Linked DNA regions of Arabidopsis thaliana. The protein of the gene in region 1 interacts with the protein of each later gene in a pairwise test. Each region holds a gene or a part of one and is shown on either strand. Other genes may lie near its edges.

The links.
Region 2: the proteins of GLN1;5 (region 1) and AT1G63430 interact in a protein complementation assay, tested with the Arabidopsis thaliana proteins (one large-scale study listed by BioGRID).

What each region holds. Positions count from the first base shown.
Region 1 is NC_003070.9:17,906,192-17,922,260, forward strand, and holds GLN1;5 (glutamine synthetase 1;5), read left to right. Parts: upstream 1-7,519; 5' UTR 7,520-7,592; coding exon 7,593-7,666; intron 7,667-7,819; coding exon 7,820-7,859; intron 7,860-7,935; coding exon 7,936-8,039; intron 8,040-8,141; coding exon 8,142-8,190; intron 8,191-8,276; coding exon 8,277-8,383; intron 8,384-8,603; coding exon 8,604-8,691; intron 8,692-8,786; coding exon 8,787-8,990; intron 8,991-9,156; coding exon 9,157-9,210; intron 9,211-9,313; coding exon 9,314-9,511; intron 9,512-9,591; coding exon 9,592-9,735; 3' UTR 9,736-9,910; downstream 9,911-16,069. Other genes in the region: AT1G48430 (Dihydroxyacetone kinase), read right to left, coding at 1-29, 110-173, 250-323, 459-498; AT1G48440 (B-cell receptor-associated 31-like protein), read left to right, coding at 884-1,055, 1,195-1,277, 1,915-1,970, 2,058-2,136; AT1G48450 (alanine-tRNA ligase, putative (DUF760)), read right to left, coding at 2,555-3,398, 3,481-3,776, 4,023-4,154; AT1G48460 (tRNA-processing ribonuclease BN), read left to right, coding at 5,278-5,367, 5,463-5,505, 5,593-5,922, 6,283-6,623, 6,740-6,958; RKL1 (receptor-like kinase 1), read left to right, coding at 12,284-13,652, 13,954-14,552.
Region 2 is NC_003070.9:23,514,003-23,531,838, forward strand, and holds AT1G63430 (Leucine-rich repeat protein kinase family protein), read left to right. Parts: upstream 1-8,494; 5' UTR 8,495-8,893; coding exon 8,894-8,975; intron 8,976-9,314; coding exon 9,315-9,453; intron 9,454-9,589; coding exon 9,590-9,661; intron 9,662-9,746; coding exon 9,747-9,890; intron 9,891-9,989; coding exon 9,990-10,130; intron 10,131-10,227; coding exon 10,228-10,344; intron 10,345-10,424; coding exon 10,425-10,489; intron 10,490-10,571; coding exon 10,572-10,829; intron 10,830-10,920; coding exon 10,921-11,126; intron 11,127-11,234; coding exon 11,235-11,367; intron 11,368-11,457; coding exon 11,458-11,615; intron 11,616-11,715; coding exon 11,716-11,931; intron 11,932-12,113; coding exon 12,114-12,449; 3' UTR 12,450-12,830; downstream 12,831-17,836. Other genes in the region: AT1G63420 (O-glucosyltransferase-like protein (DUF821)), read left to right, coding at 1,872-2,033, 2,122-2,274, 2,366-2,946, 3,493-3,688, 3,793-3,857, 3,932-4,142, 4,407-4,775; HMA5 (heavy metal atpase 5), read left to right, coding at 13,653-13,955, 14,055-15,458, 15,547-15,801, 15,931-16,053, 16,124-16,603, 16,685-17,107.

The DNA.
Region 1 (16,069 bases):
TTGTGCTGGTTCATGCCCACTTCCTCCTCCTGTTTCAAAAATGGCATTGCATAACACGAAAACGAAACTCAATTTGTAATAAAAAAGAATTGGACAAGTAAACTCCAACCTGATATAACGGCAACCTTGTCATAATTTGCAGCTGAGACATCAGCTCTTAGTACAACTTTGATCTGTGAATTCATCATAAATAAGCTGAGATTTTGCACACATCCATGGAAGGAATCGAAAAAAGTGAATTTTTTTAACCTCGGGAAGACCATCCAAATACTGAAGTCCAGGATAAGTTTCGACGAGACCTTCGATGAACTCGGTTACAACATCTGCAATAAACAGCTTATGTTCATTCTCTCTATCAATTGATATTTCAAGAGCATGCAACTACCATATATGAGATAAACTATCTAGAACAGAGAGCTAGCGATTCGAAACACAAACGGAGACGAGGGATCACGAACCGTTGGGGTTGTTGATGAATTTTTTAGCCGGAGGAACCATGGTGCTAGCTAGCTTTCAAGGATATAAAAACCATAAAATCGGAGAAGTTCATACGGAGAAATAAAGAAGAGAAAAAATTGAGACTTCAAGAGTCAACAATGGCAGAGAAGAAGAAGAGAGTGACTAGTTTCTGTATTTGTTCTTGAAAGCTAACCGTTAAATCGAAATAAACCGATAATCAGCACAATAAAACCGGTATATGGAGATATTGGGCCGGAGGTGAGAGCCCATTAAGTAAGAAAATAACTTAATTAGTAAGATAAAGAAAAAATGGTTAAGCATAGGCACGTGTTCCACGCACACGGTTCGTCTATTATTATTCTTCGTCTACTTCACACGGAATAGAGATAGAGAGAGAGAGAGATCCAGAAAAAGACGAACAACAATGGCGTTGCAATGGCTGATTCTATCGTATGTGGTGGCCGTCGAAGTAGTAATCACCCTCGTGTTGACTCTCCCTTACCCTATGCTTCTTAAGAAACGTGTAGTTCAGCTTGTCTCATTGATTCTCCAACCTGCTGCTTCCATCGTCGCCTTCGCCGGATTTCAGCTCCTCGGTAACCTCCTCTCCTCTCTCTCGCTCTATCTATCTATTTCGTAGTCGGAATATGTATAGTTAGGGTTTTGAGCCGCGAGTGATTCTGTGGATTTGGTACCTTTGTGTGCTTTTGCTTATTTGGTTTTGATTTCATTCAGATATTTACTGGAAGGCTGAGCATAGACTATCTTGTTCATCTGAGGTTTGCACTGCTACAGAACGTGATCGCTACGAGAAATCTGTAAGTACCATTCCTTGATCACCTTTGTCTTTGATTCTTCTATAGCTGAATTCTATGTGTATGAATCTTTTTTTGAATAGTAAATTGTTAGATTTGTGAGTTTCATCCTTGTCATTTTCTCCCATCTTTAGTCTAAAGATCAATATTTGTTAGTAAAACTTCTGAGAATTGGCTTTCTTTGTCTGAGGAAGTTGCATAGATTAGAGCTACAAAACACTGTCTAACTTGTTAGTGTCAATGCATTTTTTTAGGTCTTACCCTTCATTGATGTACTCATATATCTTTTAATCGTAGTTCTAGCTACTGTCAAATAGCAACATGTGACTTTCTTTATACCATCGGCACGATTGTCATTCATAGTTCAGTTTATACTTTGCTCTTGTGAATTGTTGGCAATTGATTCTTGGTGAAGCTTCATCACCACTCTTGGATGTTTAGTTCATCCCTCAGTTTTCTGGTCATGCACTGTATTCAAACCTTTTTGGGTATGCAGTTGCGAGTCGCCAGGATCAATTATACATAGTGAAAAACTGAAAATCAAACACTTGGATATTTAATTCACCCCTTAGTTCCTTCTCTTTCCCTGAAATGTCTCAGCTTGCTTGCTAACGAGTTGTGCGTTTGCATTGTACCACAGATCTACAAGGCTCAGAGGAACGTGGTTCTATGCGCTGCAGGAATTCTACTCTACTGGTAAGTTGTAACATCATCAGCTATTATCAGTCACTCACAGACAGGGTCTCGCGTAGTTTTATTGATATCTCTTTTATTCATTGACAGGTGCATCTACCGCATCTGCAAATACAACAAAGACCTGGAGCGCTTGGAGGCAACGGAGAAGAGATTCAAGGAAGAGTAATAATCTTCACGAGTATAGGGAGTTGGTTCCTCAAAACCATTATATAAGTAAAGCTTTTTTTTATTGCATTTTTACGTTCTAATATTATTGGACCTGAATGAAACTAAGAGTATCGTGAACAGCCTTTGCACACTATATGTGTATATCATCAGTGTCCATTTCTTTGATCATATTTCAAGAACAACCTTAATTTTTCATGTCCAGAATTATCATTTACAGACACTAATTTTGTTAAACAACAACGATGCACTTCAAGATGTAAACGAGAAGAATAACACAAACTGATCGCGAATGTAGTATTACCATAAAATGGGTATTGATATTAGTTGGTCAGTTCACAGTCGCATATATTACAAACAACAAATCCCCAAACCCTCTCAAAGAATGTGGCACATCCTCATAAACCACAGAGGCCATTTCAGTTCAGTACGAAGTGATACCTTGAGTCTACATGGCTCTCCACGTCCCAGAGGAAAGAACCAAACGTCACAGCCTCCAACACAAGCCTCTTCAATCCCTTGAAGCTGATCTTGATATGCTCGTCCTTCGAGGAATCAATAGTGCCTTGTGGCGTTATCACAATCTCTGGCCTCCCAAACAATGCTTCTGTATGCTTCTCAATTATCCCAACCGATTCTCTAGATCTTATTGTAGCGTACCTTTGAAGGGTTTCTCCATCAAAGGACATAACGTATGTCTTTAACCGGGATTGCTTCATATCACTGCTAAAACCGCCACTGGCATTGATCCCTCCTACAAACGAACCAACGTCTTGGTTTGAGGAAACAGCCTGATAAGTCTCTTCTGCTTCTTCATAGAAGTTTCTCTCTACATCTCGGCCTGCTTGCTCAATGCTAGTCTCACCTTCATCTGACCCACCTGGGAGAATCCTCATCGTCTTCTCAAGCTGAAACCTTTGATCGATCCTCTTCAGGAAATACCCATACATCACCGAAGCAGCATATACCTGTCCAACTCCAAGTTTGCTTATCTGCGCAACTGCTGTCAGATCATCAGTGCGGTTTTTAAGAATGATGGAAAGATGATTCTGAATCATCTCATAAACTTCAGGCGAGTGAAGTCTCTCAAGTTCCCCATCTAGAGTTGGCCAAGTATCAACTCGACCAGATGGATCCGCAGATGAAGAGGTTATGGATGGTACAAGTGTAACATTAGCATCCATGAACTTCTGAACCACTAACGCATACAAAATCTCTTCCAAGGCCCTTCTTCTCTCTTTCTCCTTAACTTCAGCAATTCTCCTAAAGACCCAAGAAACAATCTAATTCAATATCCAAACCTATATAATAGCCGAGTGGTAATTAATATCAGCATATGACAAACCTGTAGAGAACAATGTCTGTTCCAAGGACAGAGGATGCATCTTTACTCTGTTCTTCAGCGTCTCGATCAATTTGGAGCTGTTCAAGCTGCTGTTCAACAGCTGCTGGAACAAGATGAGGATGGCTCACTAATATCTGTGACAGAAACTGTCCCACAGGAGACTTCAACTGAAGCGGCGCGATTGATTCTGTTGAAGCATCACCAGAAGCTGAAGCTTTAACCACAAAGCTTCTCCGAGATTTAACACAAGTTGTTCCGCTTTGAAATGGTCTCGAGAATTTAAGAGAAGAGTTTTGCTGCATACAGAGAGACAACAGATTCAAATTACAATATAGTCAAGCCAATTTTTTTACTTATGAGAAATTTACACGAAGAAACCTTAAAAGTTCCATTTTTTTACACAGAATCTGAATTCTCGAATTTCATTGGAAGATATACGATTATGGGGTAGATTAAGCACAAACAAAGATGATTCGGGAAAGCTATAAATGTCAATGTTGTCTAGGGTTTAGTAAATCAAACTCAGTAGAAATAAGACCTACTCTGAGACGAAATTGAGGTCCGGAGCTAATTCGCATGAAGCCAGGACAGTTGGGCGTCGAAAATATCAACCTTTCGGAAGTTTGACGCAGTAAGGAAGGAGATTGAAACAAATTCGCCGCCACAGCGTCCATGATTAGCCTCTGGGAGAAGCAAAAAGTCGGAACTTTGGCCAGAGAAAGGAGAAATGAAGAAGAAACCTAGAATGTAGGAGAAGATGATGTCGATAAATAGTGATTAAACCGGTTAGTGTGGATGGTTTATGACTCTTATCTCTTCCAATAATACCCACTCACGTTTTTTCTTTTGATAATTACGGGAAATTAATTTCGTAATTTTTCATGTTTGACACAATAGAAGTTGGGCTCATATTTATATTTCTCAAAGCCCATTAAGCGGGATTTTAGACCATTATGGGAAACATATATAGCCCAGAATACGACCCATCAAGACAATTAGGGTTTCTCTCGCCTTTCGCGTCTAAAAAGTTTTACCCCAATCGGTGTGTAAGAATGTCGTCGTCGTTTCTATCTGATTTTTCGTTTCTCAGTGATTTCGTTTAAAAAAAGTTATTTTGTCTTCTGTGAATCTACAATTTTTTTAAAAGGTTTTTCGTTTTTGCTAATAAAATAAGAAAAACGGTGGCGATGATGAAAAAAAGGCCGGACTTACGGCTACTACCACCGTGAAAGTGTGGTGGGTAGTAGAATGATGCTAAAGTATCCAAAGGTTACAGCTGAGCCTCCTCTTTCTACAACTTCACCCATTTTTATCCGATCTTCACTATTATTTTGCCTCAACTTCTTTCTCAATCAAAGTTCGGTTTAACGTTTCGGTTCGGTTCGGTTATATCGGTTTTCGTTTTTTTTGTTAAATTTTTTGGAAAAGTATGCTGAATTGATCCGATATTAGGTTCGGTTCGGGTAGGTTCGGTTTTCGGGTAATTCGGTTTTTAACTGGGTATGTGCAAAAAAAACCGAAATAACCGAACAGAAGGAAATACATAAAAAAAAATTGGGTTTGTGCAAAAAAAAAAATTCAACTGGGCCAAGCTAAAATACATAAAAGGCCCATTGTAAAACCATAGAAAATAAATGCAATCAGAAGGACAGTTTAATTTTTAACCCATTTCAAAGAAAACAATTCCAAAAAATAAAATGTCAGAAAAGAATTTTCTTTTAGAATAAAGACAGTGAAGAGATTTATTTCAAAGCCTGGGTTTAAGCTGCTGAGAGAACACAAAAAACCCTAACAAAAATGGAATCGAAAGCAATTTGCTTAGGGTTTCTTCCTCCAAGACTTCGATTTTCATCTCCACGTTTACTCTCTCTTCCTCCTTCTCCTCCTGTAAGTGAAATTTAACCATCAAAATTTCATTTTTTTCCATTTCGATTCTTCCAAAACCTTATCCTAAAATTTGTCAATATCTCCTGATTCTATAGGCTTCTTCCACATTTGCGACGCGTCACAAACTTGATTCCAGACGTAAGTATCTCTATCTTAAATCCTCCTACTTCACCCAGATTGTAGCATAAAGACTGATCCTTTTTCTCATTTTCATTCTTGTTTAAGAAACCCTCCTTTGGAACAAACCGCAATTGAGCCGAGTTCGTGTAGCGTGTTCTTCTTCTCAATCTGACTCAAGACCTGAGAAGAAGCAATCGGATAAGAGTAACTATGCTCGAGCTGAGCTGTTCCGTGGGAAATCAGGTTCTGTTTCTTTCAATGGTCTGACTCATCAGCTGGTTGAAGAAAGTAAACTGGTTTCAGCTCCGTTTCAAGAAGAGAAAGGTTCTTTCTTGTGGGTTTTGGCTCCTGTTGTTTTGATTTCTTCGTTGATTCTTCCTCAGTTCTTTCTAAGTGGTATCATTGAAGCTACCTTCAAAAACGACACTGTTGCTGGTAGGTCAGGTTTTACTACTGCTTTAATGTTTAACATCGGATTATGACTTATATGAATCCTAGGAAGGAACAAATGGAGTAGAAGCTATCTATCTTAGTGGTGTTACATCTGCTAACTCATTATGTTTTAGTGTAGTAGGCTTTGGCTTTGAGGTTTTGATAGGCTTAGTACATGTTTTCTGATGTGCAATATTAGAATCCTTTTTTTCACTATTATCAAGAACACATGACCTGAGCCTTAGAAAGTACCTAAACGAGATCTCATAACTCTCCTAAAGCTAAGAGACTTAGCAAATGATCTATCTCTTGTTGTATGATACTCATTTTGATGCTCTCTCTTATTATAATTTCTTGATGCAGAAATTGTTACTTCTTTTTGCTTTGAGACGGTGTTTTATGCTGGTCTTGCGATATTCCTGTCTGTGACTGACCGAGTGCAGAGGCCGTACTTAGACTTCAGCTCCAAGAGATGGGGTCTGATCACTGGACTGAGGGGATACCTTACGTCTGCATTCCTCACGATGGGTTTAAAAGTTGTAGTTCCCGTATTTGCTGTTTACATGACTTGGCCAGCTCTTGGAATAGATGCTTTGATTGCAGTGCTTCCTTTCTTGGTTGGCTGTGCAGTTCAAAGAGTTTTCGAGGCTCGGCTTGAAAGACGTGGCTCATCCTGTTGGCCCATTGTTCCAATAGTCTTTGAGGTAAACTTATATTCTGATTTTGACCATTTTGGTCTTAAGTTTGTCTGCCCATCTTCTTGTGGTCCATGATGTTGTAGTCTTGTTTTGAGTAACTATGGTTGTGTATGTCATGGCAGGTGTATAGGCTGTATCAGGTGACAAGAGCAGCGACTTTTGTTCAGAGGCTGATGTTTATGATGAAAGATGCGGCAACGACTGCTGAAATAACAGAGCGAGGAGTTGCACTAGTTGGTTTGGTTGTGACTTTGCAGTTTCTAGCTGTTATGTGTCTCTGGTCGTTTATCACTTTTCTTATGCGCCTCTTTCCTTCTAGACCTGTAGGTGAAAACTACTAGATCTCAGTGTTTAGTGATTGTTAGATGTAGCCAAATCCCATCGGTTTTGTTTTGTTTCTGTGTTCATTTCAGTAGTAATGAATTGTATTAAGTCACTTTAAGAATTGGTTGATCATGTGAAATGAGAATTGGCTGGAAATGTTATAGAACGATCCTACTTAACTTCAGTATTTGATGAGATTTCTTATTGGAGACTCTTGTGACCCCTTCTCTAAAGTTTCAATGTGTGAAATCACAACATAAGTAACACAACAATAGATGGGTCTGGTCTCAGCTTGTGTTTTGGTCCTTTGTATGCAACAATAGAGAAGCTGAATGCTTATCCACGTGGAAGATTTGTGCCTCCGATAGGTGTCTTTAACAGTGTGACGTGTCTGTATTGTTTCATTGATGAATCTGTTACACCGTTGAGTGATTGATTCTCAAATAAATTGGTCCCAAAGCTTTTTATCAATATGTGATGGTTATTAATGGATACTTAATAAAAGATGCCATTATACTAATCAACGATTATTGTTGAGAAAACAATAAAATAGGATCTCAAGAGAAATAGCCGCTTCTATAAAAATAGTGAGAGTGACTGAGATCAATAGAACCAATCTCAGAATCATCTTCTTTCTCTTTCGGAACAAAAATGACGTCTCCTCTCTCAGATCTCCTAAACCTTGATCTATCAGACACCAAGAAAATCATCGCTGAATACATATGGTTCGATCCCTAATCATCTTTTTGTCACTTAAATCTATAGAAAAGTCTCTCTATAACTCGATGCATGTCATATAGATTCTTGATGTTACACACTTGTGATCTTGCATGTCTCTTTAAACAACATTGTTTTGTTCTGTTTTTTCATGAGAACAGGATCGGTGGCTCTGGAATGGATATTAGAAGCAAAGCCAGGGTAATAATACCATCACATTATGTCTCTCTAGTTTCTATAATAACCAAACAAAAATTTAAATTCTGTTTGTTAATAGACATTACCAGGACCAGTAAGTAATCCAACAAAGCTTCCAAAATGGAACTACGATGGATCTAGCACCGATCAAGCTGCCGGAGATGATAGTGAAGTCATTCTTTAGTAATCTTTTTCATCCCCTATTCATAACATTTATAAGTAAAGTGATATCAAAAGTATCTTTAAAATAATTTCATTTTTTTGGAATGAATTGGAAAAAAAAAGTCCTCAGGCAATATTTAAGGACCCATTCAGGAAGGGGAACAACATTCTGGTTAGCCCACATAAAATTTTGAGCAAAAGATTCATCTGTTTTATTGATTAGTGGGTCTTTAAAATCAATGTTCTTGAATATATCAGGTGATGTGTGATGCTTACAGACCGGCCGGAGATCCAATTCCGACCAACAATAGGCACAAGGCCGTAAAAATCTTCGATCATCCCAATGTGAAGGCTGAAGAGCCTTGGTAAGCTAAATACATAGCCTATAGAAAAATTCAAATGAACTATAATCGAATTTTTTCAGTTTGTTATGGTGTAGAACAAAAATACCATAGTTTGACCAATTCAAAATATATTGTAACATATATTAAAAGTTGTTTAACATAAGCACTGTTTTGGAATATATTTCAGTTTAGTTGATTCAGTCTAGGACTCATTTTGATACTTTGATGTGTTATATAATAGGTTTGGGATAGAGCAAGAATACACATTACTTAAAAAAGATGTGAAGTGGCCACTAGGTTGGCCTCTTGGTGGCTTTCCTGGTCCTCAGGTACACTTATGATAAAATTCATACACTAACTCTTATTACCAAGAACAAGTTTCTTATCTCGGAAATATTGCTTTTTGTGTGTTTTGATGAAACAGGGACCGTACTATTGTGCAGTAGGTGCAGACAAAGCTTTTGGTCGTGACATTGTCGATGCTCACTATAAAGCTTGTCTATACTCCGGTTTGAGTATTGGTGGTGCCAATGGTGAAGTCATGCCTGGACAATGGGAGTTTCAAATCAGTCCTACTGTTGGTATTGGTGCAGGTGATCAATTATGGGTTGCTCGTTACATTCTTGAGGTAAGAAACCATTACAATTTTATCTTTGTTTTTATCAAGTTTCATGGGCCCATATTTCTGCTATGTCCTATCTTATTATCGATGTGGCATTCCTAACAATTTCTTTGCGCTCAACTTTGGTTTCTTGCACTCTAATATGAATCATTGTGTTTTTTTTTTTTGGCAGAGGATTACTGAGATATGCGGTGTGATTGTCTCATTCGATCCAAAACCAATCCAGGTTTCGTGATGATCAAGACTGTTTTGTTTGTAGCTATAGCTTGAGAGTTTTCTTGAATGTTCTTTTGTAGTGAGGTTGTTATCTATGGTGGTTAATTAATTAGGGTGATTGGAATGGAGCAGCCGCTCATACGAACTTCAGTACAAAATCGATGAGGAAAGATGGAGGACTGGATTTGATTAAGGAAGCAATAAAGAAGCTTGAAGTGAAACACAAACAACACATTGCTGCTTATGGTGAAGGCAACGAGAGGCGTCTCACTGGGAAGCATGAAACTGCAGACATCAACACTTTCTCTTGGGTATATATATGAAACCAAATCATATAGTTACGTTTTGGTTTATGATCTATCTCTATGTAACTTTTATCTATCGAGTGTAGGGAGTGGCGGATCGTGGAGCATCGGTGAGAGTAGGAAGAGATACGGAGAAAGAAGGTAAAGGGTATTTTGAAGATCGAAGGCCTTCGTCTAATATGGATCCTTACCTAGTTACCTCCATGATTGCTGAAACCACCATCCTCTAAGCTTTAGACTTTTCTTCGTTTTGGTTCTTTGTATGTTCTTCGAATTTCGGTTTGATATGGTTTAATTTCGCATTTAGACTTTTCTTTCAAATAAGTTACGAAATGTTATGTGATTTCTATTGTTTGATCCGGTTACGGTTCACTTTTAAGCCAAAAAATCTACCGTTATGACTCGAATAATTTGTAACCATCATCCTCGGCTAAGCTTTTTAGTTACATTTGAAGTCATTCAGTGAAGGGCGTTTGCATTGTACCATAGCATCCATATTAGATTATGTTTGAATAAGGGCATTGACCAGGAAAAAAACAATTGAACGGGCCTGACTTTATTAGCCCATATATCAAATTTACCGTCCGTTATTGTTCTTTTACTTTTCTAGTTACGTGTTGGTCCAAAAGAAAGGATTGAGAAACAAGAAACTTGTATACATATCTAGAAGTTAGAACCCATTTCGTTTCAAGCCTAATTAACCTCTACCGTTATGACTTGAATTCGAAGCCGTGTCTATGCAAAAGTTGACCAAAACATTGATTTTTCTTTTCTTATATTCAAGATTCAAGCTATGTCATAGAAGCTACCCTAAAGCTACATGCCTACATTATGCAGTTTTCGTCCATTGATGATTGATCTGTAACGTTTAATTATCAGGTTATAAGCATACACACATTTTTTCCTCGTCTATGATACGGTGAAAGCATTAATATAAGCTATAAGATTATATATCTCGTAGTCGAATGTATAAGTATTTTTTTGTTTTTACTGAACGATGTATATATTATACTTGGATTAATATGGGCTTATAGAGGGATCTAATTAAGAATTAGACGTATCTTGTGGTCAGGTAAAGTCAGTAGATACGTTCACGAAATTCATGTAAAATATATAACTAAATAAACTACTTGATTGGTCCACCTGCACGCATATACTCAACTACATATATGTATATATATGTTCATGCATGTTACGTATAGTTTATTATTGTAAGCCGGTATTTTCTTCATCACAGAAATAAATCAATATAGACGCCAAGAAAAACAAAACCAACTAGAAAAAGTCATTTAATATTTGAATCTTTTACGAGAAAAATAGAATTATAAGTTTCTCGAAACTATCTAACAGAAATTCTCTCCGACCAATGAAGAATAATCAATCTTTTTGGGTATTTGCTCTGGTCTTTCACGAGCAAATGAAACTTATAATTAATGGTAGTATTTGGTGAGAAGAAAAGGAGCCAAACCACATGAAAGAAAAAAAATGTAAATATTAATTGTAGTTGTCGTTTCGTTTCGTGTAACGCCCAACCATGTATCGCAGCACGTTACAGCTTCCTTTTGTTGCTGTATGTGTAAATGATCTAACCTAATACCATACTATTGCAAAGAAATAAAACTATTCCTTTGTCATATACTACTAAATTCTAGGAATAGTTGACACATAACCATAAACTTAAAAGAATTTGTAGATTTCTTACCTCCAAACGGAGTAGGACATGTAGTACATCTTAAAACTAACAGAAAATAAAAACGTTACAAATCATGATCTTGGCCCCTTATAGATAGTCATGATAGTTATCGACAAATAACGTCTAAGCATGCATGCATATTATTGACAAATTACACTTGAGAAAGTTGTATATTTTGAGATCAAATATTTGATAATATGCGCATGCACAACTTATATGGCATCTAACAAATGGTCCCGGACTATAGTAAAGGATGATACATATTATAGGGCCAATGTCGAGAATTTCTTAGATACAAAACAAAACTAAAGGAGGTCTTGTTTACAGAGTGGCCGAGACAGACACAAAACGAAGAAGATTTATTCCAAAAACTTTAATGTAATCAAATGTGGTTGTGAATTTGTGATCATCTTCTAACATGTTACGGTCCTACCAACTCTCTACCCACCCTTTTTCTCCTTTTTTAATTCTATATTAATATTATCAACAACTTCAATCTTATTATACTCCATAACTTAATTCTCTATGTTCCTTAATAATCCATTTTCTAGAGAACAAATGGTTAAGAAAATGTATATTTTTTTAATGTTGTGTATGCATTTTTATCAGGTATTGATGATGAATCGTAAATTTCAAAATAAAATAAAATAAATACTATTGGTTAAGAATTATAGAAAATTGTAATTTCCAAAAAATATATTTATAATCAATTTTTAATATGTTTTTTCTTATGTGTCAAAAATCTAAAAAAATAGATTAATTAGGAACATATAACTAGGGTTCTCAATTATCTAGGAGTCTTTATGCTAATTACAGAATTTAGATTAATATTAGTCTGTTATTTTACTACTTAAAACTGATATTTTAATTCCATTTACTGACAGTAAAAAAAACAGAACAGAAAAAAAACAATGAAAGATGGAAAAAAGGAGAAGAAGAGGATTAGGCTGTTGACTGCTTTCACTCCTTTTACAGCTCTCTTCTTCTCTCTTTAATAATAAAGTTTTCATTTTTATACCTTTCTCTCTCTCTCTCTCTCTCTTCTTCTTCTTCTTCTTCTTCGTCTTCTTCTCTGAATAGTCACAATGCGAGTCTTCTTCTTCCCCAACTCGTCCATGGCGATTCTCTCTGTTTTCCTCTCCCTCCTTCTCCTCTCTCTCCCTCTTCCATCAACTCAAGATCTCAACGCCGACAGAACCGCTCTTCTCTCTCTCCGCTCCGCCGTCGGAGGCCGTACATTTCGCTGGAACATCAAACAAACCTCGCCGTGTAACTGGGCCGGTGTCAAATGCGAGAGTAACAGAGTCACCGCTCTCCGCTTACCCGGCGTTGCTCTCTCCGGTGACATTCCAGAGGGTATTTTCGGTAACTTAACTCAGCTCCGTACACTTAGCCTTCGTCTCAATGCTCTCTCTGGCTCACTCCCTAAAGATCTCAGTACCTCTTCCAATCTCCGACACCTTTACTTACAAGGAAACAGATTCTCCGGCGAGATACCTGAAGTTTTGTTCAGTCTCAGTCACCTCGTGAGGCTTAATCTCGCTTCCAACAGCTTCACCGGAGAAATCTCTTCAGGTTTCACGAACCTCACGAAGCTAAAGACTCTGTTTCTAGAGAATAATCAACTCTCTGGTTCAATCCCTGACTTAGATTTACCTTTGGTTCAATTCAACGTTTCGAATAACTCGTTGAACGGTTCTATACCTAAGAATCTTCAGAGGTTTGAGTCTGATTCGTTTCTACAGACTTCACTTTGTGGCAAACCGCTTAAACTTTGTCCTGATGAAGAAACTGTACCTAGTCAGCCTACTTCTGGTGGAAACAGAACACCACCGAGTGTTGAAGGAAGTGAAGAGAAGAAGAAAAAGAACAAACTTTCCGGTGGAGCTATTGCCGGAATTGTGATCGGATGTGTGGTTGGTTTCGCTTTGATTGTTTTGATACTAATGGTGCTCTGTCGGAAAAAGAGTAATAAGAGATCAAGAGCTGTTGATATCTCAACAATCAAACAGCAAGAACCTGAAATTCCTGGAGATAAAGAAGCGGTGGATAATGGTAATGTCTACTCGGTGTCTGCTGCTGCAGCTGCGGCGATGACTGGAAACGGAAAAGCCAGTGAAGGGAACGGTCCAGCGACGAAGAAGCTTGTGTTCTTTGGTAACGCGACTAAGGTTTTTGATCTTGAAGACTTGTTGAGAGCTTCTGCGGAGGTTCTTGGGAAAGGAACGTTTGGGACGGCGTATAAGGCAGTGCTTGACGCGGTGACGGTTGTGGCGGTGAAGAGGTTGAAGGATGTGATGATGGCTGATAAAGAGTTTAAGGAGAAGATTGAGTTGGTTGGTGCGATGGATCATGAGAACTTGGTGCCATTGAGAGCTTACTATTTCAGCAGAGATGAGAAACTTCTTGTCTATGACTTCATGCCTATGGGAAGCTTATCAGCTCTCTTACATGGTGAGTTCATATCGAAACTTGTGCTTAGATTGAGTTTGGTTTCTTTTGAGGCAAGTCAATGCTTTTAGTGCCTATAGATAGGCTTGAATACATTTAGATTATGGTTAAGTTTAGTGCTTAATCTCTTTGATCATTGATTCTTAACATTGATATGATTTCCATAATACTTTGTATAGTTTCTGTGAATTGGTAGGGACAATGTGTTTAACATTGGATGCTTTGATCTATGAACAATGATTACTACTCTAAGACTTTGGTTTGTTCTCTTTAGTTTCTATAATTGTCTTTTGTCTGTTAACAGGAAACAGAGGAGCGGGAAGGAGTCCACTAAACTGGGATGTTAGATCAAGAATTGCTATTGGTGCAGCTCGTGGTCTAGACTACCTTCACTCACAAGGCACTTCAACATCTCACGGCAACATCAAATCCTCAAACATCCTCTTAACGAAATCCCACGACGCTAAAGTCTCAGACTTTGGCTTAGCCCAGCTCGTGGGATCATCAGCAACAAATCCAAACCGCGCTACGGGTTACCGTGCTCCAGAAGTAACCGATCCGAAACGCGTGTCGCAGAAGGGTGACGTGTACAGTTTCGGAGTGGTGTTGCTTGAGCTGATCACGGGTAAAGCTCCTTCGAACTCGGTGATGAACGAGGAAGGAGTTGATTTGCCGAGATGGGTTAAATCGGTGGCGAGAGATGAGTGGAGGAGAGAAGTTTTCGACTCGGAGTTGCTTAGTTTGGCGACGGATGAAGAAGAGATGATGGCGGAGATGGTGCAGCTAGGGCTTGAGTGTACGTCACAGCATCCGGACCAGAGGCCGGAGATGTCGGAAGTGGTTAGGAAGATGGAGAATTTGCGACCTTATTCTGGTTCAGACCAAGTGAACGAAGCTGATTAAGTCAAAGATTCTTAATTGTTAATTTATTTAATTTGAATGAAATGGTTGGGGAGAAATCAGGTTTATAATTTTAATTTCTAATTTTTGACACAACTTGTCAAAAAGGAGAAGGGGTTTTATTATTAGTGGGTGACTCTGCTGGCATTTGCAGTTGTTTGTGTTGGGCGTGAAGGGATTTGGTGGTGATTTGTAATTATTGTTGTTGCTTCCCTTTCTTAAATCTATTTTCTAAATTGTTACGTATCTTTTTGTCTCTTATGTTACATGTGAGTGTGACTTTTATATCGTAATATAAAGTTGTATACTGTGGTGGCAAACGCAGTTGGTCAGTGTTTTATGAAAAAGATGTGTTCAGTTTTTCGAACAAATACAAAATTGTTTTGATATACAATATTTTTTGGTTGGCCACTTGTGGAATGCCTTTTCCCGGCAGTGTGTTTTGATCATTTGAAATGAGAAAGGTTAGTGTTAATTTATACTAATTTAAATTGCAGTTTAATTTGTTCATTTTTATGTTGTTTCGGTTCCGTATATTTTGCACTTGTTTAGCTTATTATGGTAGATGGAAGTTATATGTAAGAACATGTCATATCAATATAAGAACATGCTTATTATTATCTCTTGCTATCAAAGTGACCCACATCTAATTTAGTTTTGATGGAGAGACAGCTAAATATACCAAAAATAAACACTCAACACATGATTTATGAAAATGAATTGAATGAATACAGAATACCTAATTTGCTATTATGTAAATGTGGACAACTCTTTTAATATTGGGTTGTCAACCATTTTGAATAATTCTTTTTGGTTCACAAAAACCACTATGACTTTTTTTTTTGGCTTGCAAACATTGACAGCTTTAAGAGTAAAGCATTTAATGCTAAAGGTATAAATAGGTGAGAATGGGTGGAACTGCAACAGTACTAAGGCTGCTATAATTGTATGACTCTTTTAGAGAGGTCCCAAAGGTACACATGATAGAGAGGGACCATAAAGAGATATTGGTTTCAAGAGAGAAGACGACATTAAGATAGTGATGATTCTATTTTATGTGCGTTGTCTCTTTACCTACATTTACGGTTGATGCGGCTGCTAATTGCCAATACAAACGCAAACCGCAATCGCTAACTATACATCAGTTTAGCAACATTGGTGTATGTCCCATTAATATGATAGGTTTAAAACTTTGGTTGGAAAAGGTATCACTCGTTGAGAATCTAATGAAAATATGTGACAGAGACAAATTGTCAATATATATAATAAATAATGCACTTTCACTCAGTATACTTGGACAACATTTCACAACCCTTCTATGAAGGTGGAACGCAAAAGCCTAAGAGACCATGTCCCATATATGCTGAACCACAAATCCAAACAAATATCAAACCGCAAAACACCAATAACCGCATTTGCAGATGCGTTTATGCGTCCAAATAAATGTTTTTTTTCTTTTCTTTTCCTCTGTTTTTCTTCATGTCTCTGCATCAGAAAGAGTAAACTCAAAACAAAATCAG
Region 2 (17,836 bases), 5.6 Mb from region 1:
CTCTTCCGACCTCATCATTCATAAATAATGATGTAAATAGTTCTATCAACTTTGTTTCGATTAGAAAATTATACAATTGCTACATCGTACCATTTTTTGTGGTTCATAATGAATATCAACTGTTCATTTGGCTATTTTTTTATTTATGAAATAAATGATGAGTTGCATCGCATCGCATCGAACAAGTTAAAACAATAATATAAAGAAGAGTACAGTCAGCTAAATAATGAAACAAGTGATAAATGAAAAAATAATATTGACTTTAGAGTTTTGAGATTACGTCTTTTAACTATTTGTCGGAGATTAATTCAAAGGTGATTGGATGATCCAAATGAATCCATAATGCAAATATGGTTTCCGTTCCATAGGCCTTCGGGGGATTGAAGTTTGAGTTTTGAAACTTCACATCCCATGACTTGGTTCATATCATACAACAACAGAGAGTGTGTTAAATGATATTTGCAAGCATCTTAGGATCAAGCCTCAAATTTCCAATAAACTCAACAATCTGCTCTCTTGAAAGTGATAATGGGCCTTATACAAGAGATTTCGTTATATTTTATGGGATCTCATCTCTACTTAATGGACCTTGTATTTCCAGTAACCCAACGATTTTTGGTTATGGTGACTAAACTTGCACAAATATCAAAAATTATATATTAAAATCTATAGTGATTCGACAAATTACATGCATAGGACTATAGGAGTGTTGGTTAGTAATTTTTAATATTGAGATTAAATTGGTGAGTTTTGAAATTTTTATATATACATAACAAAATGAAAAAAGTATATAAATTTCTTTGTCAAAACCCCCTATAATGTACTTTATTTGAAATGAATGGTGTTAACAGCCTCTCTTTTTTATTCCCTACGAAAAGCCTCAGCGCCGGTGTTCTTCTTCTATGCACCAAACAAAGATCAGCTATCTCAACTCGTTTTTTTGTGAAATGGCTAGACAAGAAAAAATCTGCTTAACTTACACTCGTAAAACATGAATTTGAGTGTTTTGGGAAAAAAGCTGTTCTCCAACACAATGTGTTTAAATTGTGTAGTTACTAACCATCAAGTTACCATTTTCGTAATATAAATTCAAATTTTATCACACGAATTAAAAACAAGTCACTCTTTCCTTCTTCGTGAATGCGCAAGGCAAGACCACAAGAACAACTTATAAAGATTGCTTCATATTCTTCTTTTAGTAGTCGGTAATTAGTATAAGAAATTCAATAGTTGAATACCTTTCTTGAGCCCTCATGAGAATGTTATAGAGCAAGTATATGATCTCACTACCGAAGATGACAACGGGCCAGCAGAAAGGTAATGAAGGCTTCCTCCTATTTGCTTGATTTGCTCGATTTGCTCATCTATTTTGATATAAGTTTAAAATTTGAACAATTTTATTTGATGAAGCATAGTGGATTAAAAAACCATAGTGAGATACTTGAAAGACAAAAAAACACTTCCATCGAAATCCCTTTTAACTTTTATCCACATATGGCCACGCTTTAAATAGTAGTACTATATGATTATCATATGTTGAACAGAAAAAAATTATTCTATACGTATAATCTATGTAAATAACGTAATTGAAACGATCGAGTGATAAAGTTGACTAGTTTAAATTTCCGAATTCCAAAGTATATACTAGTAGCAAAACAAGTCCACTATCATCAATGTCGTGTGACTCGTGTCCTCATCATTCTCTCAAACCCACGAGGCATTTTCTTTTCTACTTTTTTCCTCAACCTTTTTAAGTTCAAAAAAAAAAAAATAGAAAGAGAAACCCCCCCCAACTTGTTTTCGAGATATCAACAAAAATGTCAAAGACAAAAAAATTCCCTTAATAATCCAAGAAAGAAAAAATCATAACGATGACGTCTCTATTCTCTAAACCTAGAGCTCTCACTTCTCATATCACCAACTTTAAAACTTACCGTCCGGTTATCGGAAAACTCCACGTGGCAACTTTAACGCTTCTTCTCTTCCTAATCGCCGCCGGTATTGCCGTCACTTCCTCTCTATGGCTTAACAAGGTAAATCATTCTTTTCACTATATATACATAGTTCACACTATCATGATAACTATTATTCATACTTTGAATTATTGTTTGTTTATCAAAGACGACAAAAGCATTTGATCGACCGACATTAGTAGCAACAAAACCAGAACCGGAGCTAGAGCCACCGCATGAAACCGGAGTATTGGTAAATTGCACAAGTTTCTTGAATCAAAACCGGTCCGGTTCTTGCTCAAGAACACCTCTACTTAACAAGGTAATTCTTCTTCTTTACTTCCATGATTATGCCTAATATATATGTTCATGATTGAAAAATAAATTATGACAACATTTTTTTGTTACTATAGAAAAAACCATCTCATCGACCGACAATAACAACAATAAAACCGGTCCCGGTACGTGTATCAGAGAAGAAATCACCGGAGGAAACCGGAAGCTCGGTAGATTGCTCAAGTTTCTTGAATCAAAACCGGTCTGGTTCTTGCTCAAGAACACTGCAATCGGGTTATAATCAAAACCAAACCGAATCTAACCGGTCTTGTCCTGATTACTTCAAGTGGATTCACGAGGATCTAAAACCATGGAGAGAAACAGGGATAACAAAAGAAATGGTGGAAAGAGGCAAAACTACAGCACATTTCAGGTTAGTTATTTTAAACGGCAAGGTGTTCGTCGAAAACTACAAGAAGTCTATACAAACTAGAGATGCGTTCACACTATGGGGGATTCTTCAGCTGCTGAGAAAGTATCCAGGGAAGTTACCTGACGTGGATCTCATGTTTGACTGTGATGATCGACCAGTCATTAGATCGGACGGTTATAATATATTGAATCGTACGGTTGAGAATGCGCCACCTCCGTTGTTTAGATATTGCGGTGATAGGTGGACGGTGGATATCGTCTTTCCTGATTGGTCATTCTGGGGATGGTAAGTACTAGAATATAATCTCTTCTCACTTTCTCCTTTTTTCTTCTTTTGTCTGAACTCTGAAGCTAACGTGTATGGTTGTTAAGGTACACTTGTCCCCACTTGATCACATGCCGGAGAAAAGTTACCGGGTCCATTTTTTCATTTATACACAAATAGATTCTTTCGTGATTCTTAATAGATTCATTTTGTTGTATTATATCTTCTTAAGAGTATAGTAGTATAGCTAGTTAGTGGCTAAAATTATAGTAATTTAAAGGGACGAAAAGGTAAGTCCAAAAACAATATTATCCCTCCACGCAATGCCACTACAATTTAAATATGTGGTTGTAAGTTGTTTATCACTTATTATGCTTTAACTAAAGTGTTTCACTAAAGTAACTTTAATTTCTTGTGTCATTCAATCTTTCCAGCAAAACATGAAGTGTAAAACCAAAACCATATTGGTAGTTTCATAACTATTCATTTAAACATGTTTTCTATCAAATTAAGTTCTTATTTTTTGAATGAAATTGAAATGAAATGGAATAATTTTGGTGGGTGAAGGCAGGAGATAAACATAAGGGAGTGGAGCAAAGTGTTGAAAGAAATGGAAGAAGGAAAGAAGAAGAAGAAATTTATGGAAAGAGACGCCTATGCATATTGGAAAGGGAACCCTTTTGTTGCATCTCCTTCAAGAGAAGATCTCCTCACTTGCAATTTATCCTCACTACATGATTGGAATGCTAGAATTTTCATTCAGGTATGCTTCTATAATCAGATTTATTTATACTTGTCTTCCTATGCAATATATATATATATATATATATATATATATATTTTTGATTTGTATTTGCATGCAAATAGGATTGGATATCAGAAGGACAAAGAGGATTTGAGAATTCGAATGTAGCAAATCAATGCACTTACAGGTCAGTACCATTGTCTAAAATTTCTTCTTCCTTTTGTGTCATTTAATGATTGGAGTAATAAAGTTACTATGTAGGTACAAGATCTATATAGAAGGGTATGCGTGGTCAGTGAGTGAGAAATACATATTAGCATGTGACTCAGTCACATTGATGGTGAAACCTTATTACTATGATTTCTTCTCAAGAACTCTTCAACCTCTCCAACACTATTGGCCCATTAGGGATAAAGATAAATGTAGATCCATCAAATTTGCTGTTGATTGGCTTAATAATCACACTCAAAAGGTACCCTTCTCCATCTTTTTTATAATCTCTTTCTACATTATCTTACTTATATGAACATGATCATTTTTTTTTTCTGGATCTATTTATAGATATGTATAATACAATATCACATCAAACTAGTTCGTCAAAAATAATTAGGTTTTGAAGAAAAATAAAGGGTTTATCTGTATTATGCAAACAAAAGTATGTTGTATAGAATTTTTTGATAAATTCAATCACATATATAACTTTGCCTACGATTTCATAGATTTATTTGATTTTCAGGCTCAAGAGATAGGAAGAGAAGCAAGTGAGTTCATGCAAAGAGATCTATCAATGGAAAATGTTTATGATTACATGTTCCATCTGTTGAATGAATACTCCAAGCTTCTTAAGTACAAGCCTCAAGTTCCAAAGAATAGTGTTGAGCTATGCACAGAAGCCTTGGTGTGCCCTTCTGAAGGGGAAGATGTTAATGGGGTTGATAAGAAATTTATGATAGGCTCTTTAGTTAGTAGGCCTCATGCTTCTGGCCCATGTTCACTTCCTCCTCCTTTTGATTCCAATGGTCTTGAGAAGTTCCATAGGAAGAAATTGAATCTCATCCGGCAAGTGGAGAAATGGGAAGACTCTTACTGGCAAAAGGTTCTGTAAAGTGATATAATCTAAATTTGATGATCTAAGTTTAGTTGGGGATTTTTATAGTACCTTTTTTTATCTATTGGATAACGTTAGATTGATTATAATTTTGAGGAATTAAAATTCTTTCTTATAAACAAATGAGATATGTACTATTTTCTAATAATTTACTTATCTTTCACTGACTTGACAAACAAATGCAAAGTTCATTCAATATAAATCTTATAAGCATGATTAATTATCGAGTAATTGGAACAAATTGTTTATGAGAATAGTATCTTAAACTCACCATCATATGAAATAATATATAAAATTTCAATAATTTGTCATGTCAAAAAAACTGTGATGTTAATATCGTATTAGCCATTTGGTACCAACTTGGTTACTAGTCGTCTTGGTGGAACAAACGTGTATCGCCTCTCAGCCTATCTTATATACACACATGACACGATCATATGTACATATCATCATTAATTATCTAGTTATTTATTATTTACATATTAGTACAAAACATTTACTACTCTTTTACCGAAAATGATTTAATGATAAATTCTCCAAATGGATTTAATGGTTTAGTTGTCTTGCTGAATAGTCTATACTAATAAAGAGACTCACAAAAAAATAAAAAGATGATCAATTTTTCAAAAAACAGAACCCAATAAAACATCATCCTTTATAAATATTTTGAGATTTTTTTGATATACCCAATATTTTGAGATTTTATCAATATGAAATTACTGTATGTGGTTTGTTCATTTCATTAAATGTCGTTTTCTCTTCACACAAGCACGGCGGCGGCGGTGAATACTTTTGAGTTTAACTCAGATTTAAGATTTCTCTCATGCGAAAAAGATAGTGTAAGACTGATAAAAACTTAAAACACACATTTTAAAAAGAGAGAGTTAAAACACATTAAAATCTGTTACAATTGATGTCAATGGTTAATACTACACTAGAAATACTAAAAAGAACATGTTAAGAAAATAGTAGCGTGTTGCACAAAAAGAAAAGAAAATGGTTGATCTAACACTGAAATAACTTCTTAAATTTCACGAACACTATAAAATTTGCAGATTAATAAAAGTTCAGTTATTAAGTTATATCAAATTATTCCGAATGCGTGTAAAACCCACAATATTTGCATACCCGGTTTAGATCTAAACCCGAATACTGTACATATAAGCTCAAACCTTAATTTGAGATAACTGCTGACTTCCAAATTCTGCAACATTAAATTATTAAATCCATTGGAAAAAGGGTACTAATCCTTTGGTTAGAAAGTATGATTGAACAAGTGCCCCGTATTTAAATTTGATGTCATCACAAAGTTGTGTATTCATGATGGTTCTTATCAATTTCCCTTAGCATCTACTCAATGTTTGCTTGTAAGCATTGGGCGTGACGACAAGGGAACCTTCATGTCCAAACTGTAACAGAAGTGTATGTATATATTTAATTAGAAAATATTCTTAGTAATACGTTTTTATATCTTGATTATAAAAATTAAAAAAACAGTAGAAAGTATATACCATACGAATTTTAAGTGCATAAGCAGTCAAAACATAAACATAAATGATACAAGAGATCTAATCATCTAATGGGATGTCGACAAGTCTTAGAAACAAATATGTGTGTACGTTTATATAACGAAATAAATATAACACGAAAATAACTTAGAAACAAACAAATTGGGACACGCATGGGTAATTTGTCCCCTTCTCTTGTTTGTTGTTCAATTAATGAAGTTACGATCTCTTGAGGCCAATTATATAATTTATATAAAGACTTATTAAAAAAAATAAGAAACGTAGAATGTACTAGAAATAAACGAGGGGTTAGTTGGATTCATCTAAAAATGTTTATGTAGATTTTGTACCAAACATTAAAAATATATGTTGTGTAACTTTGTTGACAATTAAAAGAAATTATTTAATTGATAGAGTTGTTGAGCGTTGTATCTTTTAAACCATTTGATTTTCCCTACTTTATTGTGTTAATTTGCATAATGTTTTTTTCTAATATTCTGACATTATGTTTGATTTATTTCCATGAAACAACAATTGTTTCTAGAGAAAGCTTAATGGAGATTTTAGCTTTTTTTTGTTTTTTCTTCATTTAGTCCCACAACATCATAGTCATGATTTTTCGAACTTGTGAATTGTGATAGTTAATGATTCTAACTTCCAAGTGGTAACAATAAACCTAAAATACGGAGAGTATTCGTCACGCGCTCCAAGCATAAGCTCGCATGATTGGTGGCGTAACTTTCATGGGACATTTTGTCTCTCACACTAAAAATAATAATTCTTGTAGCATACTATATTTAAATAGCTTATTATTATAATTGACAAATACGTATTATTTGAAGTTTGTTTATAGCCTTCACGATACTATTTTATTACAATGAAATTGAATTTACTAACAAAATATAATTATTTTATATATTAGTATTGCATGTTAATATGTTGACCGTTGATTAAAATACAATTTAATGATCATAGCTGTGATCTACAGTAGTACGGTATGTTGTAACAACAGCTTAGCAAGGCTCTAGATCACCGTAGTGGACTAGTAGACACTAGACACCGTGACCGTACCACGAAAAATAAATTCTCTTTATAAATTAAACGCACTATTATTTCAATGATTAGCAACAATATTATACTCTTAATTAGGAATCTTCCAACGAAATTTATTCATTTCTACCATTATTCTAATGAGATGTTCTCTTCCATTTTACGTTCGAATAATAGTCTGTCCTATTATTAATTTTTTGAATATCTAAAAATTCACTACTAAAAAATTTACCTCTTTCAAAAACTAGATCCACATTAAATTAGTGAAGAAAAATCTACGGCACACTATTTCCATCAGTAAAAATAAGGAAAGTTTTTCAAAAAAAAATATATTAATATTTTAATCAAAACAAATATATTAATTATTATTTAATAGTTGAACTAATAATATGATGACATCTGTACAAATTTGATAAGAATAGTTTCTCAAAGTTTCTCCTCCGAAAAATTTAACTCTCCTTCTCTCCTACTTTTTCTCACCTCTCTCATATTTTTTTTTTTTGCTCTTACTACACAAATACCACATTAGTATCTATAATTAATAAAGTTAATAAAAATCAGGTTCTAAAATAATTTTACTCTTACATAATAACGATGATATTGGAACATTACACTTGATGCACAATTTTTTTTGTATAAAATTTACATTTTATTTTAAAAGTAAAATAGCGATAATATATATTTGAATAACAATACAACGATTATCTTTTCAACAGATCATTTTTTTAACACTAACAAATCATTTTTTAATTTACTGTATATTACAATTAAAATCTCATGCAAAAATACAGTTGTACATATGCCCCTAGATTCCTGATATAGAAAGATTTGGATATTTCCTTATTATTAATTTGGTGTTAAGCTTTGCCACATGATTGATGTATATATATTATTAATATAGATAAATATATTTCTCACTTATATAAATGAATAGAAAATCGATCTAAAAACTAAACAAACATTCATGTAAAAAAAACATCCATAATTCAGAATATTTAAAAACAACTCAGAGTCACATAAAGTTGCCCAAAGTAAAAGAAATAAAAAGATAAAGAGGATGAGAACATTCTTCCTTTCTGTGATATTTTTTATTTAAATTGTATATTTTCATAGCTATTTTTATTCTATAAAAAAATTAAAGCTCATTTTTCCCCTCCAACAAGGAAAAACAAAAACCTGTCTTTGAATCCAAGTCTCTCTCTCTCTCTCTTTCTCGCCACACTTCATCATCTCTGCTACTTTTTTTTTGTTCTCGTCTCAGTGAGTTTTCTTTGATAGGTTTATTGCTAAATCAATCAAATAATCTTGTCCAGTTTCACTTCTCTTTTACCATTTCCTTGTTCCATTCTTCAGCTTCTCTCTCTCTCGCTCTTTACTTTACTAAACTTGGTCTCTTCTTGAGCTTATACATCTCATTTCTGCAGAGAGTACTTGTCAAAGAAAGTTGTCGTCTTTCTCCAGATTCTTCTTGAGCTTATACTGTTGATCATCCGTGAAAGAATCTAGGTTCCGCTTCTTTTTTAATGAGCCGAATTTGAAGGAATCTTTCAACAGACGATGAGATCGAAGTATTTTTGTTCGTTAGCTCTTGTTCTTGGTCTCTTCTTCGTTTCTTGTGATGGGTTTGCCTCTAATGAAGGTAAAACTATTTGTTAATCTCTTTGTTTTGTGTTACTTTTCTTAAACCCAGATCTCAGATTTCAATTGTTTTCTCGCTTGTGTTAGGTTTACTAAGAAAATGCTAGATAAAGCTCATACCTTTTTAGATTCTTCAGTCTCCATGAATCTCTCTGTGAACAACTTTCTAACTTAACTTGAACAGAGTTGGGATTAGTGTAGAATCTTAATCAACCTGAAAAAGTTTTATCTTTTTAATGGATAAGATCAGAAGAATCTGTGAAGTTAAAGCTTTTAATTCAAGGTCTGATCATATAAATCATCTAATAGATTTATGGATCTTCTGCTCTGTTTTTGTTAGTTCAAGCACTTAGAAGATTCAAGGAAGCTATCTATGAGGACCCTTTGCTAGTTATGTCTAATTGGAATGACCCCAATTCAGATCCTTGTGATTGGACCGGCATTTATTGCTCTCCATCTAAAGATCATGTTATCAAGATGTAAGAATCTTTCATCTTTTCTTCTTTCTCTTGCGTTTACTTATTCTTGTATAGTATCTGCAGAATCAGTTGTTTATGAGTGGTTTAGGATGAAGTTGGCTTGAGCTTATAGCTTGTGGATCTTCTTTTCGTGCAGAAATATATCCGCTTCATCGATAAAAGGGTTTCTTGCGCCGGAATTGGGTCAAATAACGTACCTGCAGGAACTGTACGGTTTCATCTCTTTCACAAATATGTAGTTTGATGCATTGAGTTTGATGCATCTCATTAACATCATTAAAATGCTTCTGTAGAATCCTACATGGGAACATTCTAATAGGGACAATACCTAAGGAGATAGGAAACTTAAAGAATCTCAAAATCTTGGACTTGGGAAACAATCATCTTATGGGACCGATCCCTGCAGAGATCGGGAGTTTGTCCGGCATCATGATAATGTAATAAAGATTCATCTTTTTCGCAGTCAAAGTGATGCTTTCATATCTTATTAACAGATGAGTTGTTGAGACGACAGTTTTTCTTTTCACATTTTACAGCAACCTTCAGTCCAATGGTTTGACTGGAAAGTTGCCTGCAGAGCTCGGTAACTTGAAGTACCTTAGAGAACTTCATATTGACAGGAATAGGCTTCAAGGAAGTCTTCTTGTTGCTGGAGCATCGGGCTATCAGTCGAAAGTGTAAGTTTAATAGCTCAAGAAGCCAAAAATGAAACACTATGTGACTTCTGTCTATGATGGCAATGTTAATCGGGTTTTGTTTATTCAATTTATTTAGGTATTCTTCAAATTCAAGTGCAAACATCGCTGGTTTGTGCAAATCTTTAAAAGTAGCTGACTTTTCATACAACTTTTTCGTGGGAAATATTCCAAAATGTTTAGAAAACCTTCCAAGGTATTCTATCATCTATGCTGTCTTTTGGAACTCTCTAAGTCTTCAATTTAGTCTTAGAAATGCTCTTTTGTGGTCACTAGGACGAGCTTTCAAGGGAACTGCATGCAAAACAAGGATCTTAAGCATAGATCTTCTTCCCAATGCGGTGTGTAAGATAGAATAATTTTCACTTTATCGACATACATGTTCAATTAGTCTTGGTTTTCTGAATGTTATCCCTGTTGCAGCTAATGCACAACTGGTCAAAACTCATGGAAGCCCGAGCGCTGCTCCTAAGCACCAATCAGCTCAAATGGTGGCTAAGCACCATAGAGCATCAAAACCTAAATGGCTTCTAGCTCTTGAGATAGTCACAGGGTCAATGGTTGGTTTGCTCCTTCTGGTTGCACTTTTCTCTGCAGTTCACCGCTGGAACAATAGATCAACTCTCATCATTCCTTGGAAGAAATCTTCAAGTGAAAAGGAAAAGTTCACAGTCTACGTAGGTTAGAATCTTTCCTAATTCTTTACCTTCCAATGTAGAATCCATGGAGCAAAGAACTAAAAAAACGTGGCATGTTTTTATTTTAACTACAGATTCTGAAATGCTGAAGGATGTTTCGAGATTAACAAGACAAGAGCTCGAAGTGGCGTGTGAAGACTTTAGCAACATCATTGGTTTATCAGCAGATAGTCAGATCTATAAAGGAACGCTGAAAGGTGGGTCTGAGATTGCGGTGATCTCTCTTTGTGTAAAGGAAGAAGATTGGACTGGATATCTTGAGCTCTATTTCCAGAGAGAGGTAGCTTCCTCTCATGTTATCATCATCACCAAGCCACTTGGATTGAACAATCTTTAAACATATCCTCCTTTTTTCTGAGATTTTAAATCCATCTCCTCACTGTTTCAGGTTGCAGATTTGGCTAGATTAAACCACGAGAACACAGCGAAATTACTTGGATATTGCAAAGAGATCTCACCATTTACAAGAATGCTTGTTTTTGAGTATGCATCAAACGGAACACTATATGAGCACCTTCACTGTAAATAGTCTAACTTACCTCAGAGCTTTGTTGCATCATCCTGTATTGTTTTAGCTAGATAACATTTTTATGTGAAATATTTTGATGCAGACGGGGAAGCGGCGTTAGTATCGTGGGCAAGACGGATGAAGATTGTTATAGGCATCGCACGTGGTCTCAAGTACCTTCATATGGAACTTGATCCTCCGTTTACAATCTCTGAGCTGAGCTCAAACGCAATTTATCTCACAGAAGATTTTACTCCCAAGGTAAAGTAAAGTGAGACCTGCTTGTTATCTGAGTAATACAATTAGCTAAGCTAAGCTTTATGTTCACATTCTTTCTTTTTTCTGACTTTCTCTGATGCAGCTGGTTGATTTCGAATGCTGGAAGACAATTCTTGCAAGATCAGAAAAGAATTTGAGAAATATTAGTAGCCAGGGTTCGATATGTGTACTCCCAAACGGAATGGAGAGCCGATATCTTGATGTGTCGGGTAATATCTATGCATTCGGGATTCTTTTGCTGGAAATTGTCAGTGGAAGACCTCCTTATTGCAAAGACAAAGGATTCTTAATTGAATGGGTAAGACAAAAACAACTCAGTTTCTCTAAACACTTGAAACTGAGTTACTTCCTCCTCCTCTTTTTTCACCATTTATATCAAAAACTTTGTTACTGTTAGCCTAGTAGGAATGGAGTCGTCTGTTCAGGGAGAGACGAGTTTTCGTCTGGATGTGGAAGTCTTGACCTTGTTCACATGTTTAGTTATATCGCACCTCAAATGTGGTTTTTGTGGCAAAAGTTTTGAATTTGAAACGTATCTATTGCATTTTGCAGGCAAAGGAGTTCCTTGAAGCACCAGAGGCAATGTCGGGATTGGTGGATCCAGAGCTGAAACATTTTAACCAAGAAGATCTTGAGACGGTATGCGAAGTGGCTAGCCAATGCTTGAACCGGGACCCAACCAACAACAACAACAATCACAACAAGCCCTCAGTGCAAGAGCTATGCGAGACATTGGAGAGCAGAATCAGTCTGTCTATTTCAGCGGAGCTTAGATCATCTTCTTTGGCTTGGGCCGAGCTGGCGCTTGACTCGTGATGAGAATGATGAAAGGAAAGAAAACGAGTGTTGAATGATGCAATGCTAACTAACTAAAAACCAAACTCTCAACTCTGTAAATCAATCGACTGATTACAACATTTGATATTGTTTTTTTTTGCTCTGATCTTGACGAGTGTGTCTGTGTTCTTGATTAGTTTTGAGTTTTGGGTGGTTCAAAGTGTTTGTAAATGAAGAGATGAACATAGTTTCTGAAAGATTTTCTCTATTATTTGAAAATCTATGAGAGGTTGAAGAATGTTAATGTAGTGTGTTTGGATCTAACCTTTAATCTTATATTATATAGAGCATTGTATCTATTGTTTGACATGATTAGTCTCATTGGAAAAAGCTTCAAGGCAATCAATTTGAGATCAATATCAGTCTCAGACAAGTGTTTGCGGACCAAGAAGAAGAAGAAACGTAGTTGAAGTTCATAAATCATAATGCATGGATCAACTTAATAAAAGGCCCACATTTAGCCTCGTATCAGTCTAAATGGGCCACACAAGTCAATAGGCCCATTTATCAATGCTTTGACTGTTTTCAATCTTCAATTTTGGTATGACTTCTTCTTACGAGGTTGAGTGCCATAAAAGATTAGACAGACACGTAAAATAGATTCCATTTTACCTTTAGTTAAAACAGATATGGATTAGCCAAGTTTCGTTAGTATATTGTCATATTATTTTATTGAAACAGAAAAAAACAAGTAAAGATTACTTAATCATTCTTAATCAGGCCTGTTCTTAATTATCAAAAAAAAAAAAAGATTACTTCATCATGTCGTAATAATATCACTAATCAATCCTTTTTTTTTTGTCATCACTAATCAATCCATTTTTTTAGCGAACCTTAAAGTCAAAGGTGTTGTTACTTTGGACGATTAAATTTGAATTATATAATTTAAAAGAAAATTGGAATTTAATCTGTTGAGGTTGAAATTCTCTCTTTTTATATATGGCGGTTGAAATTTAAAAGTAAAGTATTGTTTGGTAGGGCCCTATAGTTTAAACATTTACAAATCGGCCCACACATTTTTGTCATTTTAGATGTCGTAAACCGCTTTCCCTCGTCTTCGTTCCAATTTAAAAAGCAAAACAATTTCAAAAAGTCTCATCATTTCCCATAAACCTAAAAGCTTTTTAAAAACTCAAATTCGATACGAGAAGAACAAGATTCGCGCACAAGACGATCGATTACATGGCGACGAAGCTTTTGTCGCTTACATGCATAAGGAAAGAGAGATTCAGCGAGCGTTACCCTCTGGTGCGGAAGCACCTTACCAGGTCTCGCGACGGCGGCGGAGGATCATCGTCGGAGACGGCGGCTTTTGAGATCGATGATCCGATTTCCAGGGCGGTTTTTCAAGTGTTAGGAATGACTTGCTCTGCTTGCGCTGGATCTGTTGAAAAGGCTATCAAGCGTCTCCCTGGAATTCACGATGCTGTCATCGATGCTCTGAATAATCGTGCTCAGATTCTGTTTTACCCTAACTCTGTCGATGTAAGCTATGATATTCTCTCGAATCTCGGTTGAATTGTTTCTGAGAAGACTTGATTTGGGATTTAGGTTTTCTTTTTCTGTGTAATTGTGGATTTATAGGTGGAGACAATTCGTGAGACTATTGAGGATGCTGGATTTGAAGCATCGTTGATCGAAAATGAAGCGAATGAGAGGTCGAGACAAGTTTGTAGAATAAGAATTAATGGTATGACTTGTACTTCGTGTTCTTCAACAATCGAAAGAGTTTTGCAATCGGTTAATGGTGTACAAAGAGCACATGTGGCTTTAGCAATTGAAGAAGCTGAGATTCATTATGATCCTAGACTCTCGAGCTATGATAGACTATTGGAGGAGATAGAAAATGCTGGTTTTGAAGCTGTGCTTATAAGTACAGGCGAGGATGTGAGCAAGATTGATTTGAAGATTGATGGTGAGCTTACTGATGAATCCATGAAGGTTATTGAAAGGTCGCTTGAAGCACTTCCTGGTGTTCAAAGTGTTGAGATCAGCCATGGAACTGATAAGATATCTGTATTGTACAAACCTGATGTGACGGGGCCGAGGAATTTCATTCAGGTGATTGAGTCTACTGTCTTTGGTCATAGTGGTCACATCAAGGCAACAATATTCTCAGAGGGAGGGGTAGGCAGAGAATCTCAAAAGCAAGGGGAGATTAAGCAGTATTATAAGTCGTTTCTCTGGAGTTTGGTTTTTACAGTACCGGTGTTTTTGACAGCCATGGTCTTTATGTATATCCCTGGAATTAAAGATTTGCTCATGTTTAAGGTCATCAATATGCTCACCGTTGGAGAAATCATAAGGTGTGTTTTGGCTACTCCTGTCCAGTTTGTCATTGGTTGGAGATTTTATACTGGCTCTTACAAGGCTTTACGCCGAGGATCGGCTAATATGGATGTTCTGATTGCTCTGGGGACAAATGCAGCTTATTTCTATTCATTATACACAGTGTTGAGAGCTGCAACATCTCCTGATTTCAAGGGAGTAGATTTCTTTGAGACTAGTGCCATGCTCATTTCCTTTATCATACTAGGAAAATATTTGGAGGTTATGGCTAAAGGAAAAACATCTCAAGCGATCGCAAAGCTTATGAACTTGGCACCCGACACTGCGATATTGTTGAGTTTGGACAAGGAAGGGAATGTGACTGGTGAAGAGGAGATTGATGGTCGATTGATACAGAAGAATGACGTGATCAAAATTGTTCCTGGTGCTAAAGTAGCTTCAGATGGTTATGTCATATGGGGACAAAGTCATGTGAATGAAAGTATGATCACTGGAGAGGCTAGGCCAGTGGCAAAGAGAAAGGGTGATACAGTTATAGGAGGCACTTTGAACGAGAATGGTGTTCTGCATGTTAAGGTTACAAGGGTTGGTTCAGAGAGTGCTCTTGCTCAGATTGTTCGACTTGTTGAGTCCGCACAACTGGCCAAAGCTCCAGTACAGAAGTTGGCTGATCGGATTTCCAAGTTCTTTGTTCCTCTTGTGAGTAATCTGACCAGTTGATAAACAAATTATTTAGTCTTTTAGAGGCACAACTATTTTTTAAACTCACTGGATTATAATGTTGAAGGTAATTTTCCTCTCGTTCTCAACTTGGCTTGCCTGGTTCTTAGCTGGGAAACTGCATTGGTACCCTGAATCCTGGATACCTTCTTCGATGGATAGCTTTGAGCTAGCTCTTCAGTTCGGGATCTCTGTCATGGTCATAGCTTGTCCATGTGCTCTTGGGCTGGCTACTCCAACTGCTGTTATGGTTGGTACTGGGGTTGGTGCATCCCAAGGTGTGCTGATAAAGGGTGGCCAAGCCCTAGAAAGAGCACACAAGGTTAGTTTAGTGTGCAGTAACTTGGTCTATGGCTTTGTAAACTTACTATACTGTATATACTTTACTCAGGTTCTCTGGATCATTTCTTTTCTGAAATGGTGAAACCTGACAGTTTCAATGACGGTGTAGGTAAATTGCATTGTCTTTGACAAGACAGGAACTCTCACGATGGGGAAGCCCGTTGTTGTGAAAACAAAGCTCCTGAAAAACATGGTACTTCGAGAGTTCTATGAACTTGTTGCTGCAACTGAGGTAAACTTTTGGAAACTCCTGGCCTACATCAAAAGTAATATTACTATGTTGATGCTATTTTGTTTATCAGGTAAACAGTGAGCATCCGTTAGCAAAGGCCATTGTCGAGTACGCGAAGAAATTCAGAGACGACGAAGAGAACCCTGCCTGGCCAGAAGCCTGTGATTTTGTGTCCATCACTGGAAAGGGAGTGAAAGCCACCGTTAAAGGTAGAGAGATTATGGTGGGGAACAAGAATCTGATGAATGATCATAAAGTTATTATTCCAGATGATGCTGAAGAGTTGCTAGCTGACTCTGAAGATATGGCCCAGACCGGAATTCTTGTCTCCATAAACAGTGAACTGATTGGAGTTTTGTCTGTTTCGGATCCTCTAAAACCGAGTGCTCGAGAAGCCATCTCCATTCTAAAATCCATGAATATCAAAAGCATCATGGTAACTGGTGACAACTGGGGAACAGCAAACTCAATTGCTAGAGAAGTCGGTATCGACTCTGTTATCGCAGAAGCTAAACCTGAGCAAAAAGCAGAGAAAGTCAAGGAATTACAGGTACTTGAGTAAAAGCTCCACACTAAATGTTAAAAAGTTCACATATATGGAATTGATAAAAGCAATGAATATATATTGCAGGCTGCGGGACATGTTGTGGCAATGGTAGGTGACGGAATCAATGACTCACCGGCTCTCGTGGCAGCGGATGTAGGTATGGCGATAGGTGCAGGAACAGACATTGCTATAGAAGCAGCGGATATAGTTCTGATGAAAAGCAACTTAGAAGATGTGATCACAGCCATTGATCTTTCAAGGAAAACGTTCTCAAGAATCCGTCTCAACTACGTATGGGCTCTCGGGTATAACCTCATGGGGATACCGATCGCTGCGGGAGTGCTTTTCCCAGGGACACGTTTCAGGTTGCCTCCATGGATTGCAGGTGCTGCAATGGCTGCTTCTTCTGTTAGTGTTGTGTGTTGCTCTCTCTTGCTTAAGAACTACAAGCGACCTAAGAAGCTTGATCATCTGGAGATTCGGGAGATTCAGGTGGAGCGAGTTTAAAAAATTGAACTAAACCGAGTACCGGTTATTGAATTTGATGAACCAATAAACAAACCGTACAGTAAGTTTCCACTCCTTATCTAGAATTTAAGTCCATGAACTAATAATTGATTTACTTTGCCTCCATATTTTCGTTGCTTCCCTTTTTCCTATTTGGAAAAGGAAAATATTTGCCTTATTATAAGACAAGAGCAGAGAGGACACAAATAAAGATAAGAAGATTAGGATTATACTTTGAAACGTGATAATGAGAACTAGACATGGCAGCAAAAGGACAAAGATAGAGAAGGAGTCTCGAGTAAGTCAAGTAACGTCGGAGACAAGAAGAGATTGCCTGTGAAGTCCGTAGCTAAGTTTCTCGTTGTATCCAAGTTATTGGCAACAATTATCCGCAGTCGATATTTCATTAGATCGTTTCCCTTTAGGTCTTCGCTTCAGCCACATATACTCTTTGCATTCAAATATTTAGATAACCAAAACGGACGCCAGATTTGTAACTTCTTCACGTATTCCTCGACATCAACCAAGAATCTACCGTATTATTTATCTCTTAGTGCGACATGCTCAATCCCGAGTCCGTATTGCCGCAGGATCAATAATGTTCCTTATTACGTTAATGGTTTGATAAGTCTTGGATGTGGACGAGAACAATTTATATGCAACCCTAGCACAAGTAAGTACATACCTTTACCCAAAGTGAAATCAAGAAAAAAGATTATCCAAAACTTT